Drosophila melanogaster: one gene and its partner. The protein of the gene in region 2 purifies or fractionates together with the protein of the main gene of each other region. This does not show direct contact. Each region holds a gene or a part of one and is shown on either strand. Other genes may lie near its edges.

The links.
Region 1: the proteins of mei-217 (region 2) and rec purify together in Drosophila melanogaster (affinity purification with western blotting; one study listed by BioGRID). This does not show direct contact.

What each region holds. Positions count from the first base shown.
Region 1 is NT_033777.3:15,828,777-15,834,924, forward strand, and holds the start of rec (recombination-defective), read right to left. Parts: upstream 3,857-6,148; 5' UTR 3,842-3,856; coding exon 1,578-3,841; intron 1,546-1,577; exon of another isoform or gene 1,494-1,545; coding exon of another isoform or gene 1,389-1,493; intron 1,318-1,388; coding exon of another isoform or gene 1,175-1,317; intron 1,113-1,174; coding exon of another isoform or gene 772-1,112; intron 708-771; coding exon of another isoform or gene 514-707; intron 450-513; coding exon of another isoform or gene 1-449. Other genes in the region: CG4576 (uncharacterized protein), read left to right, coding at 1-449, 514-707, 772-1,112, 1,175-1,317, 1,389-1,493; CG43318 (uncharacterized protein), read right to left, coding at 3,992-4,507, 4,615-4,617; CG43317 (uncharacterized protein), read right to left, coding at 4,748-5,158, 5,260-5,589; Arpc3A (Actin-related protein 2/3 complex, subunit 3A), read left to right, coding at 5,990-5,995, 6,137-6,148. UniProt on the Drosophila melanogaster protein: Required for meiotic DNA recombination in females. Probably not involved in DNA repair and recombination in somatic cells.
Region 2 is NC_004354.4:17,136,614-17,145,916, forward strand, and holds the start of mei-217 (meiotic 217), read right to left. Parts: upstream 6,378-9,303; 5' UTR 6,251-6,377; coding exon 6,189-6,250; exon of another isoform or gene 6,095-6,188; coding exon 5,654-6,094; exon of another isoform or gene 5,149-5,653; coding exon 5,081-5,148; intron 4,982-5,080; exon of another isoform or gene 4,869-4,981; coding exon 4,713-4,868; intron 4,591-4,712; coding exon 4,478-4,590; coding exon of another isoform or gene 4,366-4,477; intron 4,303-4,365; coding exon of another isoform or gene 2,763-4,302; intron 2,699-2,762; coding exon of another isoform or gene 1,365-2,698; intron 1,309-1,364; coding exon of another isoform or gene 1,076-1,308; intron 784-1,075; coding exon of another isoform or gene 464-783; 3' UTR 1-463. Other genes in the region: mei-218 (meiotic 218), read right to left, coding at 464-783, 1,076-1,308, 1,365-2,698, 2,763-4,302, 4,366-4,499; RpS5a (ribosomal protein S5a), read right to left, coding at 7,090-7,158, 8,005-8,103, 8,403-8,519.

The DNA of each region.
Region 1 (6,148 bases), on a different chromosome or scaffold from region 2:
AGTTCTTTGCCATGTTCATGGTGATATTTGCGCACACCAACTGGGTGATTTACGAGAGCGCCATCAGCAATCCGCAGGATCCGGAGCGACTGCTTCACACGGCAGCTGGCACTTTACTCGTTTCGGGATCATTGATCACTGTGACCTTTTTTGTGATCAGTGGTTTGTTGCTTACCATTAACTGGCTGGCCGTTTCACGTTCGCTAGAATCTAAAAAGGACACCTGGAGCTTCGGCCAGTATGCTTTGCTATTTGTCAAGTTTAACATCTTCCGATACATCCGACTGACGGTTCCATATGCCTTTGTATTGCTCATGAGTGGCGTTTACTTTGAGAACGCTGGAGGTCCACTGTGGCGGCACATCTTTGAGCGGGAGCAGTTGGCTTGTCGACGCAACTGGTGGACCAATCTGCTCTACGTCAACAACTTTGTACGCACGGATGAGCGGGTAAGTAATGAGTGCTTTATCTAATTTATCATCTAATCCACTCAAAATTCCATTCGGGATGCAGTGCCTGCTCCAAGGTTGGTATTTGGCAGCGGATACTCATTCCTTTGTGCTCAGCTTGGTGCTGCTGATGCTGGGTCACCGGTTCGTCAGATGGAGCAAACAGCTCTATGCGGGCATTTTGGGTCTTTTTGTGGTGGTGCCAATGGTGCTCACATATGCCATGAACTACTATCCCATTTTTGTACCCACGCCACAGTAAGTGATCGGACTTAAAAACTTTACTACTTGATTACAATCATTCTACCCATCTACCAAACAGAACCCAGAAGGATTCCTTTATCGGAGATCGTCAATTCACCGAATTCTACACGTCGTCCTTTATGAACTTCGGTAGCTATTTCTGTGGAGTCCTGGCCGCTTTGGTTTACGATCAGTTGGCATTGAAGCAATACAAACTACGGGAGTTAAAGAGCTTCCAGCTTCTTTGGTTTACACTTATTCCAGTGGGGATTCTATGGCTGTTTAGTGCTCATCCCATCTTCCAGCACTACTACGTGACGCCGTCGGCCATTTGGGGAGCATTATATGCCGGCCTGCAGCGAAACATCTGGGGCTTCGGGCTGGGAATCTTCATCGTGGGCATGGCCAGCAAAGTGGGATGTAAGTATCAACTGCGAGATATGCTTGGTATATCCTTGGCAAATCTTACTGTTCTTTCACAGGGATTTTCCGTAAGTTCTGCTGCTTGCCCATTTTCCGCATTTTGGGACGCCTCACTTATGGAGCCTTTATCGTCCACCTTCTTGTGGCGAGAATCGTCTTGGCCACAGTGCGGGAGCCCATTTATTTTGGCACGGGCATGATGGTGAGCTCACTTCTGGCATTCAATAGGAATTGGATTTTATGTAACTCAAATTGTTCTCATCTTATCTACAGTTTGCTTTCATCTTTTTTACGGTGACCGTGTCCTATCTCTGCTCCTTCTTGCTGGCCATCTTTCTGGAGCTTCCCGTCTCCTCCTTCCTCAAGCTTATGAGGTAGCCCAATGTCCTAACTTAAAGATTACTTATAACTAGAATAAAAGACATAACTTAATTAAATCCGTCACCAAAAAATTTCACTTACCCTGCGCCAATCTGGCTGGAAACGTCTTCATCGAGATTGCAGCTTCCTTTGAGCTCAAGGAAGTAACGCAGAACAGCATTGCTGGCGTCCTCGTTTAGGACCGGATTTAATTCCTGGCGAGCATAGGACAAGAACTTCTTAATCAGTATGGGTGGGAGCAGGTCCAAGTCCCCCTCCTCCGGAAGTACCTCCAGACGTTTGTCAAGATCATAATCCTGCTGCATAATGCTGTCATTATCGTCCTCCGTTTTGATTGTGTCATCATCTTTTCCCGCTGCCGGCACATTAAGGCTGACCTCGCACATGGAGTCGCTCATTTTGGGCTTAAGAGCATAGCGGGCTGCAATTCTCGCTCGTTTCCTAGCGCCCGCATGGAGAGCCCTTACGTGGGCAGTCAGCGACATATCTCTCTCCGAGGGCTTGTCCAATAATATGTAAACCAAATGGAACTCCCGCAGCAAAGAGGGTGAAATATTAATATTCTGTAGAAGGTAGCGCCCCTCATCGTATTGTCCTCTTTGTGGATTTGCGCACGCTATCACCGAAGGTTGCGCCGGGAATGAGGCAAATGCTCCTGCAAGTGGAAGATTTACTTCCTCTGATTGTAGGCACTGCAACAGTACGGCCTGCTTGGAGGCAAGTTTATCCACATCATCGAGGGTGCAGTGACCGCCTCCACTGGCCATCATCAAGGAACCCGCTTGTAGCACACGCTTGTTACGCCCAGCAAACGTAACACCCAGTTGCTGTGCGGATTGAGCCCCACGTTTTCCACTCACGTGGGCACCACGTTCAGCGATCTGAGCACAACTTTGCAGAATCTTGGTCTTTCCAATTCCGGGATCACCCACCAGGAGCACGTTGATGGCTTCAGTCTCCGCACCTTTCCCGCCGAGAAGGGATAGTAAACAGGCGGCTTTGGGTAGCTCATGTCCGTATACCTCCGGGGCAATGGATTGCACCAGTAGCTTAAAGCTGTTGGGTTCCGCATTGATCATGACAATCGCTTCCAAGTCACGTTCGCTGAACTCCCGCTTGATGCTGCTCGCATCGCGAATGCTGACTGCCTTGAGATAGGGCTGCATCTGGTTGGAGGTGTCTCCAGTGGTGGTATCGTCGCCCAATTCCTGCAGCTTAAGGATGCCAGTTACCACGACCTCCTGTCCGACACGCACAGCATCAACTAGATCATGTCGCAGCTCCACGTCCATTTCAGCAGGCATGCTGGTCTCAAAGTCGTGGACCAAGTTCAAACTGGACTCCTCCACGCGGATAATCTGTCGGATTGAAAGCCTGGTGTATGGGGAACTGCGAAGAGGCACGAATTCGTCACGAGCCACACACTCCGACCGCTTGCATTGATAAGGACGTGGCTGGAAGGTTCCCCGTTGGCGCATGGCAATCTCCATCTGGCAGCGACTGCAGCGAAAGGCTTGCCACGTGAGGCTGTAGCTAGGCTCGCCCACATTGCTCACAAAACCCCGGATGGAAAACAAAGTGTCCACTCGGGAATGGCTTATTCCTTCTATTGATTCCACAGGCACAAAATCATCCGGTCGTGCGTAGATCTTGCGTACCCGTGGGGTTGGAAGGACGTACTGTTCCGGAGTGGACACCATAGCTGTGGTGGAATCATTACAGTCCAGCTGGTGATTGACGACCACAGTGTGCATAGCCAACGACAGGGTTCCTAGCGTGCGAAGCGGGTGCTCACGGATGTCTTCGGACAAACTAGGCCAAACCTCCTTTAGCTGGGCATCTGATTTGATGCCTGCTGCGCAGAGGGGGAAGAATCCCCGATCCCGTATCATCACAAAATCGAAGGTGTGAGGATTACGTTGGTAGTATGCCTCCACGGCCATTATCCTTGTGGCCAGTTCGTTGCCCTCCTCGTATTTCTCGCGCAAGAAGTACAGTCGCCAGCCGGAATAAGCCCGTGGATTATCCACCGCAATGCTCTGCACCTGGAGCCCGTCTTCTGGTGCGGCATAGTTTTCCGGCCGCAGAAAGCTGCAGTCCAAGTGAGCATTGCGTCCTCGCTTGCCGGCTGTGCGGCTCCAGCCCCTGGGTTGCCGAGTTGCAGGCGGAACAGAAGGAGCGTCTGGTGCTCCAGGTTCCCCTTGGTTGGGTTGTCGATTGCCTCCGGCTGGGATCACACGTCCATTGCGCCGAAAGTAGAAGTACGGACGGTAGGCTCCGCCTCCGCGACCACGACCACGCACAAATCGCGATGGGGCGCCCCCCCGGGAAAGCGTTGGATTCATTTCAGCTGGGGAAAGTTTACAAATTTGCCCGCTTTTAAATAGAGATGATACCTATATTACAAATGACATGAAATATCGATAACGATCTTTGGCTAAGATATTGAACCCTTAACGATTTTATATTTAAACTTATAAATCGATGTAATAAAATTATTTTGGAATTATTTCGGCGGACACTTGTGATATCTTCGATTCTTGCTTCAGTATGCTCAGCTGGGCGGGAAGGTAGTGTTCAAATACACCCGATAGCTTCGACTTGACCTCACGAAATGTTTCCAACACTTTTATCTCCTCGTTCTCATCAGTGGGCTGCACGGCCTTTAGTTCATGTAGTAATTCGGTGCAGCCGTCGAGGAGCATCACCTGCTTCAGGTGAAGCTTAAGCAGCTCCTGCTGAATTGTCTTGATGCACTGGATTTGTTGGTCCATGCGCAGTGGAATCGTGGAAAGAGCCAACATTTGCTCCATATGCTTTTTATCCTTCACGAACATTTTAGCAGCACTTTCCATGGCTTCAGCAGGTTTTGCTTCAATCTCCTTGGGATCTTTGTGCTTTTTATCCTCCACGATCGTTTTATGAATAATTTCCATGTTTTCAGCAGGTTTTGCTTCAATCTCCTTGGGATCTTTAATGCACGGAGCTTCCGTCTCGGTTTTAGCTGGAATCTGTAAGGGAAATTAGGGCTTACTAACTAACTAGCCTTAGAAATTGACAGCTATCGCCTTTTTTTTTGGTTATCTACAGCTTTGTATTTATTTATTTTTTTTTTTACCATTTTGTTCTCTGCTGAAAAGTTTTAGAGACCGTATGCAACCAATGATAAAACTGAATAGCAGATCGAATACTAAGTCAAAGCCTCCTTTTAATAAGAAACTCATAGTTTTTTACAGAACATTCAGAGCGATCTAGGGTTCTGGTTTCTGGTCACCTTTTTTCGGGAAAAGTGAACTCAGATTGACGGGACAGTTGTCCAGGCGGGCCAGTTGCTTAACCATGTCATCCAGGAGCAGGCTGTTCCGCTCGTCGGAACCCTGGATGAGCCCGTAGGCCTCTGCGTTGGCGATTCGGTGCTGCAGAAGCGGCATGTAGGGTCCATTGAAATGCGGCTGTCCATTGGCCAATTCCGGCGGAGGCTTAGCAGTGGGAATAAAGTCCGTTTCCGACTTTGGGGACCGGCAAGTCGGCTGGTTTGGCCGAAACTTTGGAGTCCTATAGCCCAACTTTCGCTTCTTTTCCGCCTGCAAGTGATTTTCGCTCACGTCGTCGGACTCGTAATGATGGTTATAAAACCGGATGCCGTATATTGCGGGCTTTGGCTAAATTAGGTAGATTTATCTTTAGATAAATTAATATTTTGTGTTATAGATAGTGTTGATGGTTAGAAACTGAGACATATCTCCAAATCTCCAATACTCACAGCTCTCTTGCGCTCCTCATCGTAGCCATCGTCATCCGAATCATCATCCTGTTCATCATTGTCCATTTCAATGGGAATCCGGTCACTGGTCACCGGCACCTGGGGCACGAATTCTGAGGCACTTGCTCGGAGTCCATTAGGGGAGACCGCGGTCGGCGGAGAAGCAGAAGCCGAAGTCGGAGGAGTAACGGCTGGAGTCACCTCATTGCTCATGGACTCTAGTTCCAGACATAAACGTTTGTAGGCCATCGTGGTTCTTTCCAAGTGGTTGAGATCCAATTTGCCAGCGATATGGGCAACGTTCTGGAGGAATTTTTTACTTTCATCCATAAAGAGCGAAGTCACAATCAAATTCCTTTGTGGATGGCGCAAACATTAAAAATTTTAAACATTTAACACAAACTTGATTTGTTTAGCATTCGATGTTTCGATTCGATTTCTGACAGAAAATCTGGAACTGTCAAACATATTTAAATTGGTTGATGTACAACAATTTATAAAAAAATATTAATAACGAACTAAAAAACTTGTAGTATTTAATGGAATTGTCCACAATTTTAAAAATTTAGCTCAGTGTGACCATTTCGGTCGCGACTTATCGGTCTTGTCGATAAATTAGAGCTGCAAAATTTGTAAACAGTGGACGCCTATAATTAAAAACAATATTTAACATCGAAAAAATAACGTTTTCAACGTTAATTTAAATAATTAATTTAAAATACAATTCAACATGCCGGTTAGTGGATACTTGCGCATCAAAGGCAAACGAGTTGGCGTTGAGATATTCCCAGTTCTTTTCACCTGCTTTCGTGACCCCCTGCCAAGCATAAAAATTTCCAAGGGAAAAGGCAATCTTGTAAATTAACTATGCTTTCAGGCCTACCACTCG
Region 2 (9,303 bases):
AATTTTACAAGTACATAGCTTCCAAAAAATTAGCAAAAACATCGTTGATTAGCGATTAACAACGGTACAAGATTATTCCAAAATTTTCCTGATTTTCGCGAATTAAATTTTTAAAACTATCCGCGATTAGCTTGCGATATACACAAAACATATATCGAATGAATCAAAAGATACTGAATGTGGAGGAGATGGGGGATGTATGTATGTGTCGGCTATGTGTGAATGCTTACAAATATAGTCTTCGTTTTTGAACGCTTCAGGTGTTGTTTGTGTAGTAGAGAATGGCTAGGGTGTAGTATCTAGTGGCTATAGTGCCGATTTTGTTTACAAACACATGTGCTGTAAATTTATCTGTATAAAACTACAAAAGGTATTCAAAATTGGTCCAGTGTGCGATGGTTATAAATCTACGAGTAATGCCAAATCAATGCCAAGTTGGTCTATAGGGATCTATGCCAGGCGTTTAGGGCATGTCCCAGCTATCTGTGCGCCGCCTCTTATCCGCGTGCATCCCCAGCTCCTCGTCCTCGTAGCTATTCAGATACTGAAGTAACCAGCGTGTAAACTTGTTCATGTACGGATCGATGCAGGAGATCACATTGAAATTGAAGACCGCCGGCGGTGCCTGGTTTTCTTTGGCCCCGAAAATGCCCTGCACGAAATGCTCGCAGTGAAAGATGGCCACACAAACGTCCGATTCAAGGACCTCCAGCCGCAGCGCCAGCTTGGCAAAGCACTCAGCTAATTGCTTCAGCACTATATAGGTCTTGCTAGAGAAGACATCTGGAAATGAGCGGGATGGAAAACGTTAGTTGCCATCGATTAGAGGAGCACAAAATAGTAACAAAAGTTGTAAATAGTATTTCAAGTTTCGAAAATAATTAACAATTTGACTCTGTTAATTGTTCTCGAAACATGCTAAATGCGAAACATTACTAAAGTCAGTTTGGATGAGATCTGTTTGAATTGTGATTGTTGTTGTGTTTGTTGATCTGTGTTTCATAAAGCCGTACTGACACGACCCTTCGCTTTGAAGCTAGGAAGACGATTTGCTGCTTAATGGAATTAGACTTACTCGGTCGCTCTTTCCTGGAGATCACATAATACTTTTGCAGCATATGCTGAGCGCCATCGGTTAAGGTGGTCTTGCGCTGATGCAACAGATGTATAAGCATGCGCATATCGTCCTCGGGAATGCTCAAGCCATCGTTGACTACAATTTGACCCTCAGCGTTGTGCTTCTGAATTATAGAGTTCCAGAGACTATTGCTGGCCTGAGCACCCATATAAATTGGCAGCCCGAAGATTCTGCAAATTAGGTTAACTTAATATACAAGCGTAATTTCTAGTTTTGTCCACCTTACGGGCACAGTTTGGCGAGGGCCAGTGTTTGATTGGTGGAGTTGTTCGGCTGCCAGTAAGTCCAAACGGCTGCCTTTAAGGGCTGATCGATGTGCAACTGCGGAACTGGGACCGCTCCATTTTCGATGCACTTTTCCAGCTGGCATCCCTGATCCTTGGACAGACGATTCCAATCGCCGGCGTAGTAAACTCCCTGTTGTGCCAATAGTAAAGGACTGGCCACTATCCAATTAAAGCGCGTGGGCAGGGCATTGAAAGTGGGCTGCAGTCCGTATTCGTGGGGTCCCAGGAAACGTGGTGCCAGTTGGCCCACTTTGTTAAGTAGACGGTTGGCCATCAGGCTGTCGGTGGCGATTATGCATAGCGAAATTGGAGCCCGCACCTCATCAGATTCGATTGAAACGATACTGGCCAGCAGTATCATCTTCAGGTACACAAAGCAATCCATAGGCACACAGTCCTGACTGATCTGAGCACTTAGGGCGTAGACAAAGGAGTAGTCAGAATACTGCGATGAGATCAAGTGATGTAGTTTCTTGATGCTGGACGGCACGCAGTTTAGATCCGGCTTGGGATATTCTTGGCCGTGCTGTGATGGGGCTCGAAATATCATATGACGCTCGAGTGGTGGTCCTGCGTCCTTAGCGAGGTACGCGTTTTCCTCGCCGTGTTCGTCGGCGACGACCTGGTTCTCCGACTGGAAACTCGGGGGCTCTATCTCCGACTCCCACTGCCATTCCTGGTCCTGTTGCTCCGGCTGGGTTTCCTCCTGATCCATATCCAACAGAGGCCTGCTGTACATTAGGTCCTCGTCCTGGTGGATGCATGATTCCCACAAGTGTTGCTGGTGCTGGTTCTCCACCGGCGGCGAACTGAGAGTATGCGATAACTGGGTGGGCCCGGAAATGCTGGATGGGAGGCGGCTGGAGCTCATATGCTGGATGGGGGGTGGCGAACTGGTAAATATATCCATATTGGTGGTGCCAACCCCTGTACACGGGAGACTGGCTAGCCGAAAAACCGACTGGCTGACACTGTTGCTTTGGATTTCAACCGGAATTTGTGGTGACGAGTTGCTCCATATAATTCCCGACTGCTGATCAAAATAGAACACGGGCGGCAGATTGCCGGTGGCACTCACCTCGATCATTGCCGGTGGTACAATGGCTTCGATCGGTGTGTCGACTGTCTGTCGTGGTGGACATGGCTGATCATCTATCTCAGAGGTGTATTCGAGTATTGGTTCTGGGGCGCTGTCAGGATTTGGTAGTTGCTCGCGTGGGTTATTTTTTTTCGCGTGCAAAGAGCGCGTAAAACGCTGTCGACAGCGTCTTTGCTGTAATTGTCCAATATAGAAAGGGTTATCTAATGAGGATTAAACTTACGGTGCAGTAACTTACGCTCAATCTAGACACTTTGTGGGTTAGATGGGATTCTCCGGTAGGGTGGAACTCCTTAGCATTTGAGTTCAAAACGCTGCCCATAGCCAATTTTCGCATGTGGCTGCTCGCATGGATTTCTGGTGAGCTTTTCACCTGGCGCGGTTTCTCCTGTTGCTGGTACGGCACCACCTCTTTTTCCGGCGTTTTCCCTGAAGATCCCTCAAGCAAGGACTCTGTAAACTCTCGACTTACCGCCTGCAGACTGCGCACCATCCGGGGGTTGTGATTGCGACGTGGGAATCTCCTCTGCCTTCTCTCACTTTGATTAGGCGTCGGCGGCATAACATCCTCGTCCTCATTGTGGACAACACTGGGACCCGAAGATTGAGTGGTCTGCTGTCTGGGCGCAATGCGGATTGGTGCCGAAGAATTGTTTGTAACTGAAGCTCTCTTCGCAGGGCTCCTTGAGTGCAAGTAAATGAGCTCGGTAGGTCTCTCTGATTGCGACTGAGTATGATTAACAGGGTTCATCTGCTGCTGAACAGAAGTTTTCGGACAATTCTGAAGAATCTTTGGCTTCTGCTGCTGTTGTTGTTTCCAAGAGTGCTGAATGCCAGGAGACTTCTGATTGTTTTGGCTCCTTTCATTATTGGCAGGACTCTTCTGTTGCTGCTGTTGGAATTTGCTGGGAGAATTTTCAGAACTCTTCTGCTGTAAAGAACTGGCAGAACTCTTCTGATGATGCGAGGAATTGACCCAACTCCTTTGCTTCTGTATGAAATTGACCGAACTCCTCTGCTGCTGTGAAGAATTGACCCAACTCTTCCGCTTCTGTAAGGAATGGACCGAACTATTCTGCTGCTGTAAGGAACTGGCAGAACTGTTTTGCTGCTGTAAAGAATTGGCGGAAGCCATCTGCTGCATGTTAGTAAAACCGACAGAACTCTTCTGCTGCTCCTTTGGAGAGTTAGGTGTTTTCTGCTGATGCTCGACAGAATTAGCCGGACTTGTCTCCTCCTGTTGGGATTTAGCTGGAGTATTCTGCTCCTGTTGGATATTCTTCTCACCCGGAGAGGACTGGGCAGAACTTTTTGGCGTCAGCGGCTGTACTGAATCTTTACTCAGCAGTGTTATATTGGTCGAAGAAGAGCAACGTGCCTGGTCGCTTAAAGACTTTTGGCTGTCGCTAGGACGTACTGACGACAGCCAAGTGGTCACCGATTGATGATTGCTGTTGCTCGATTTCGGAAGCATGAAATCCGGCAAAAAGTTACCCAGCACAGGCGGATCTTTTACGCGACTAAAACGACTGGCAAGGCACGAAACAGTGCCGCCGTCATCTTGATTACGCACCCGCGGCGTTCGTTGTTTGAATCTCTTCGGGCGCTGGCCCAAATCAGGATACTCTTCGGCACTCACAACAAAGCTACGATCAGGCTTAGTGACTTCTTTAGATAAGCGCCAGACGTTAACATTTGGTTTGTAGACACCGGCCTTCGGTGTGGGAGTCATAATAGGCGTCACATCGCTTTCGACCAGGCCATTCGATGGTATGGTGCTGGGCATTGGGGGATACATTAATATATTTGCTTATTATAATGGTGTAAATAGAATATTCTACCCTATGGAGCTTGTGTTGGCATTTTGAGTAACTTCACGAACTTCACCATCGTCATCGTTGCGCAAGAAAACATTAAGCTGGAGGGGAATGTGCCTACGAGGGTCCTTTTTCTCTAGTTTATTCGTAGATGACATGCTTCCAGTTGATATGTGCTGGCTGAGCTCGCAAAGTATCCAGTGATTAGGTAGCTAGCACCCAACTTTAATTCGCAGTCGTGGGCGTGGGCTAAGAAATGTTGTTAATATTATGATTATTCATGATAGTGACATCCAAATGAGTATGTCCTAGTTTACCAGGCATATTTAATTTCACGTGTTTATGATGTCCTGAATACCAGATTCACTTACCTCTAAGGCGAACTAATTTTGGGCGATGAAGGCAATTGGTGACACGAGGTGTCTGAACTGCCGAAATAGGCAAGACAGCCAAGATACGATAGGTTTCCGTGACGCGCAGCTTTTGGTATTCACTCATGGGCCGCGAGCAGCTCGAACAAAAGGGTGCTGAAAGATATCAAGAAGATGGATTAGCAATGGAGCTGGCACAGGATCTCGTGAACAAGGAATGCTGGGTTAGATAACATTTTGTTAGACAGGGTTCCGAGGGTTGTGAGTATGGCTAGAGGTTAGAGGTTGTTAGTTAGAGGTTGTTGGCTGTGCCACAATTTGGATAAAGTGCACGTTGTTTCTTTATGTTCCTAGCCTATGGGACCTACCATCTGTTGAGCTGGTCTGTATGGCATTTCGCATACAGCCACTGCCGCAGTACCAGATCGATTGTAGGCTACAATGGAATATCAGGATATAAATTACACATATTATCAAAGATTGGTACACCCTAGCAGAGCAGCTGTGTGTTTTATAATTAATATGTTTAGAAACAGATATTGCCTAAAGCATAAGAAAATAATACATGCAATAGACAAATAATAAATACCATTAACCCACTTAAATAAAAAATAACGATAATACGATCCATGCTTTTTTAACTTTAACAACAATGAACATTCATAGAAAGTTAATGGGATATAGATATACTTCTTTTGTAGGTTGGTATTTACACTTAAGAGACTAAGCTTAAAACCCTCTTGAACTAAACCAAAAAGGGTAAACCAGCTTGGCTAGCTTGGTTAGTTAAGAACTATAACTATAATTAATCAGGCATGACAGGATACATAGTACCCAAACATAACCAAATCGAATAAGAAAAATGTGGAAAAAGCACACCAAAGCAAACTAGGGGAACATTGCAATTCTCTGCCAGGACATGTACAAACTGTAAAACTGACACCAGTGTTTCTTGCGGCGTGAAAGCGGCTAGGATGCCCCGGATCTGGGACAAGCCCAGCCGGGTCAACTGGTCCCGCGGCTCGAACTGCAGGCCCGGCGTAAAGGGCAGTCCCACCAGGCGCCAGTGGGCGTGCAGCTGGTTGATATCGATGGGCTTCAGGCCAGCGTCCTTGAGATGTGAGCGGATCAAGCCATAAACCGAGTAGCGGACCGCTTCTTGAAACTGCAGCGGTTCCTCGACGATGAGCTGCAGTAGTTGCGGTGAGATATCGAGTAGTTGCCGGTATTCGAAGTCCAGGCGCAGCTGGATGGGGGCCAGCAGGTCCTCTGGCCGCCGGGAGCTCATATAGTTCGCCACAAAGCGGCCAGAGGAGACCTGGACCAGCTTGAGCAGCTGCGTCTGCCGGCAAAAGTGCTCAACCAACTTCTGATCGTGGAATCTGTATTGTATATTAGCATTTCGTGTTTTATGTCTTTAGGAGCCTGCGAAAATAAATGCGCCCTGTTTTTTAACCAGGATTACCGTGCACTTACTGGCTTTTTAATGGAGTCTCGTTTACAACTGATGATCCTTCGCTTGCATCCACTGTGAACATTATACACTAATCCAGAAATGTGAACTTATTTCAATCCGACCTACTACCAAAGAATTTTAAAATGAAGTGTTTGACTAAGGAAAAATTGGAATTAAAACCGATTGCGATATGAAGTGTACCTATCGAGCCCTGATTTAAATCGATACTGAAGTTTTTCGATCGGGTAATGTGTGACTTAGATTTTAAATGTCGTTAAATGACTAATGACTAGCCTCCTACAATAAATGGATCTTTTGTTGCTTTGGCATAGAGTTCTTCAAAAGCGAAGAATAGAATATATAAATGTAGAATTTAAGGGCTTAAAACAATCGGAGTATTGTAAACTGTTGCCAGCTTTCCAATACATTTATTTTAGAAAAGTGATGCCAGATCGATGGAGTATCGCAACTATCTATAGATTTTATACACTAAAAAAACCGTATTTTAGTGATCTATCGTGAGTAGTTAGAGAAATATCTATGAAAGAAATTGTATCAATATCGATAAAAAAAACTTTTTAAAGTTTCAATTTGTTTAAACCATGTAATTTACTTTAATTTTTTAGCTAAATTTCATTTCAATATTTTTAGCTATTCCAAGCAAGACAATTTCACGTTTTACTCACGCTTAACCTCACATATTTCTGACACCAGCAGCCCGATAGAAAATAGCTAAAATATCCGTTCTTCTCTGACAACCAAGTTTATTATAAACTAAAAACTATAAAAAAAGAATGGTCTGAAGTGAATTTTTCATCTTGTTGTTTATTTTAGTTTTAGTGTATCATTTCTCAGTGTACACACGTTATTTGTATAAAAAAAAACAGACAGAAGTTTGTTTTTGCTGGTGATGATGTCTCCTTAACGGTTGGACTTGGCGACACGCTCCAACTCATCCTTCTTCTTGATGGCGTACGAGTTGGAAGATCCCTGGAAATACATTTAAACACAAGTTATTAGTATTGGCTATCAATGTTTTTCTAGATCTTTTATATGTTAATTGCGCTGTTATGTTACTGTTACTGCATTGTATGGATTCATCGCTTCTAAATAAATAAATATAAAAAAACAAGTCCCTAACTTATTTAAAGCTAGTGTTCCTTTACGTTTCTCATGTGCATTGAACTAAGCAATATTACAAGCACAAGGATAATAAAGGATGGAAATTAATCTGGTCCAAAAGCGAGACTACATAATTAAACCACCATGCAGAATTAGATTGGACCTATTATTAAGCTCTATATACCAACTCTTAAATAGTTTGCTAATGTTCTTTTACGTTTCTCGTGTGCATTAGACTGATATTGTCACAAGCACAAGGATAATAAAGGATGGTGATTGTTCTGGTCCAAAAGCGAGACTACATAATTAAACCACTATGCAGAATTAGATTGGACCCCCGCTATCCTAATCGAATCAGTTCCTAAATGCTAATTCATAAAAGTGTTCTTTTACGTTTCTCGTGTGCATAGGACAGTTAAGTGGTCACTAGCACAAGGATAATAAGAGATTTGGAGTTTGATCTGGTCCAAAAGCGAGACTACATAAATAAACCATGATGCAGAATTAGATTGGACTAGTTGAAATGACTAGCTGTGTCACTAGAAGGAAGAAAAGAGCTATTTCGAAGCTCAATTCTTGGGTTAATCCGAGTGCCGAACGTGGTTCTCGATCTGGTCTACAAGCGAGGCCAGGCATTTTGGTAGTACAATGCCAAGCATTAGAGTAGACCACCCCATTCCCACTTTGATCTCGCCACAAGCCCAATTTACCCACCTTAGCAGCGTTGATCAGCTCATCAGCCAGGCACTCGGCGATGGTCTTGATGTTCCTGAAGGCAGCCTCACGAGCTCCAGTGCACAGCAGCCAGATAGCCTAAAGGAAATATACGGAAAAAAATTAATTAAGTAACTTTATGAACGCAATCACAGCAGCGTAAGAATTTGGGGTTCTTATCGTTAGTAAAATGAAAGTGTGTTATGCAATTGATAATGTCTCTTCGTTTCATACGCCAAATGTCGGCTATACTACACATTATGACGCTACGGATATTAGATAGATTTTCGTTCTGGCCAAGTGTTATAAGCAAGCAGTCTCTAAACGAACCACAAGCCATTGCTACCGGCCACCGTGAGCACATGCATCTGGAAGGCAAATCTTCAGAAGAAACCCACCTGGTTGACGCGACGCAGGGGCGACACATCGACGGCCTGGCGACGGACGGTACCGGCACGTCCAATACGGGTGGAGTCCTCACGGGGTCCCGAGTTGATGATGGCGCTGACCAGGATCTGCAAAGAGGTCACAAAAAAAAATCGAAATGAGTAAGCTATCACTTGATCCACTCGAAGCACCAAAGTAGAATTTTTGCTGTTGATTTATTGCTTTATTAAGGTTGCATTTTTGAGGCCATGCCCTTAAGAGGAATAGCTAATCATGGGGTTTATTGTGGTCCAATTGAATACCACAACGCTGTAGGGATCAACGCTGCAGTTTTAGTTTTGGACGGATAATGATACCCTTGGTGAATAATGCTTAACTTTAGTGTTGTTTTAATTTCCAGGAGAGCAGGAAGTGGCTTATATCTTCAGGCACAAGGATAGTTAAAACAATTTCAATTGATATTAGTCCATTTTTGGTTATGCTCAGTATGGCATCGTATTTTTAAGCCATCTGGCATTGAGGTGGACTGACACGCGGTTTCTGAGAATAGGTTTTTGTTGATTTATGCTTTATTAAGGTTGCATTTTTGAGGCCATGCCCTTAAGAGGAATAGCTAATCATGGGGTTTATTATGGTCCAGTTGAATACCACAACCCTGTAAGGATCAACGCTGCAGTTTTAGTTTTGGACGGATAATGATACCCTTGGTGAATAATGCTTAACTTTAGTGTTGTTTTAATTTCCAGGAGAGCAGGAAGTGGCTTATATCTTCAAGCACAAGGATAGTTAAAACAATTTCAATTGATATTAGTCCATTTTTGGTTATGCTCAGTATGGCATCGTATTTTTAAGCCATCTGGCATTGAGGTGGACTGACACGCGGTTTCTGAGAATAGGATTTTGTTGATTTAT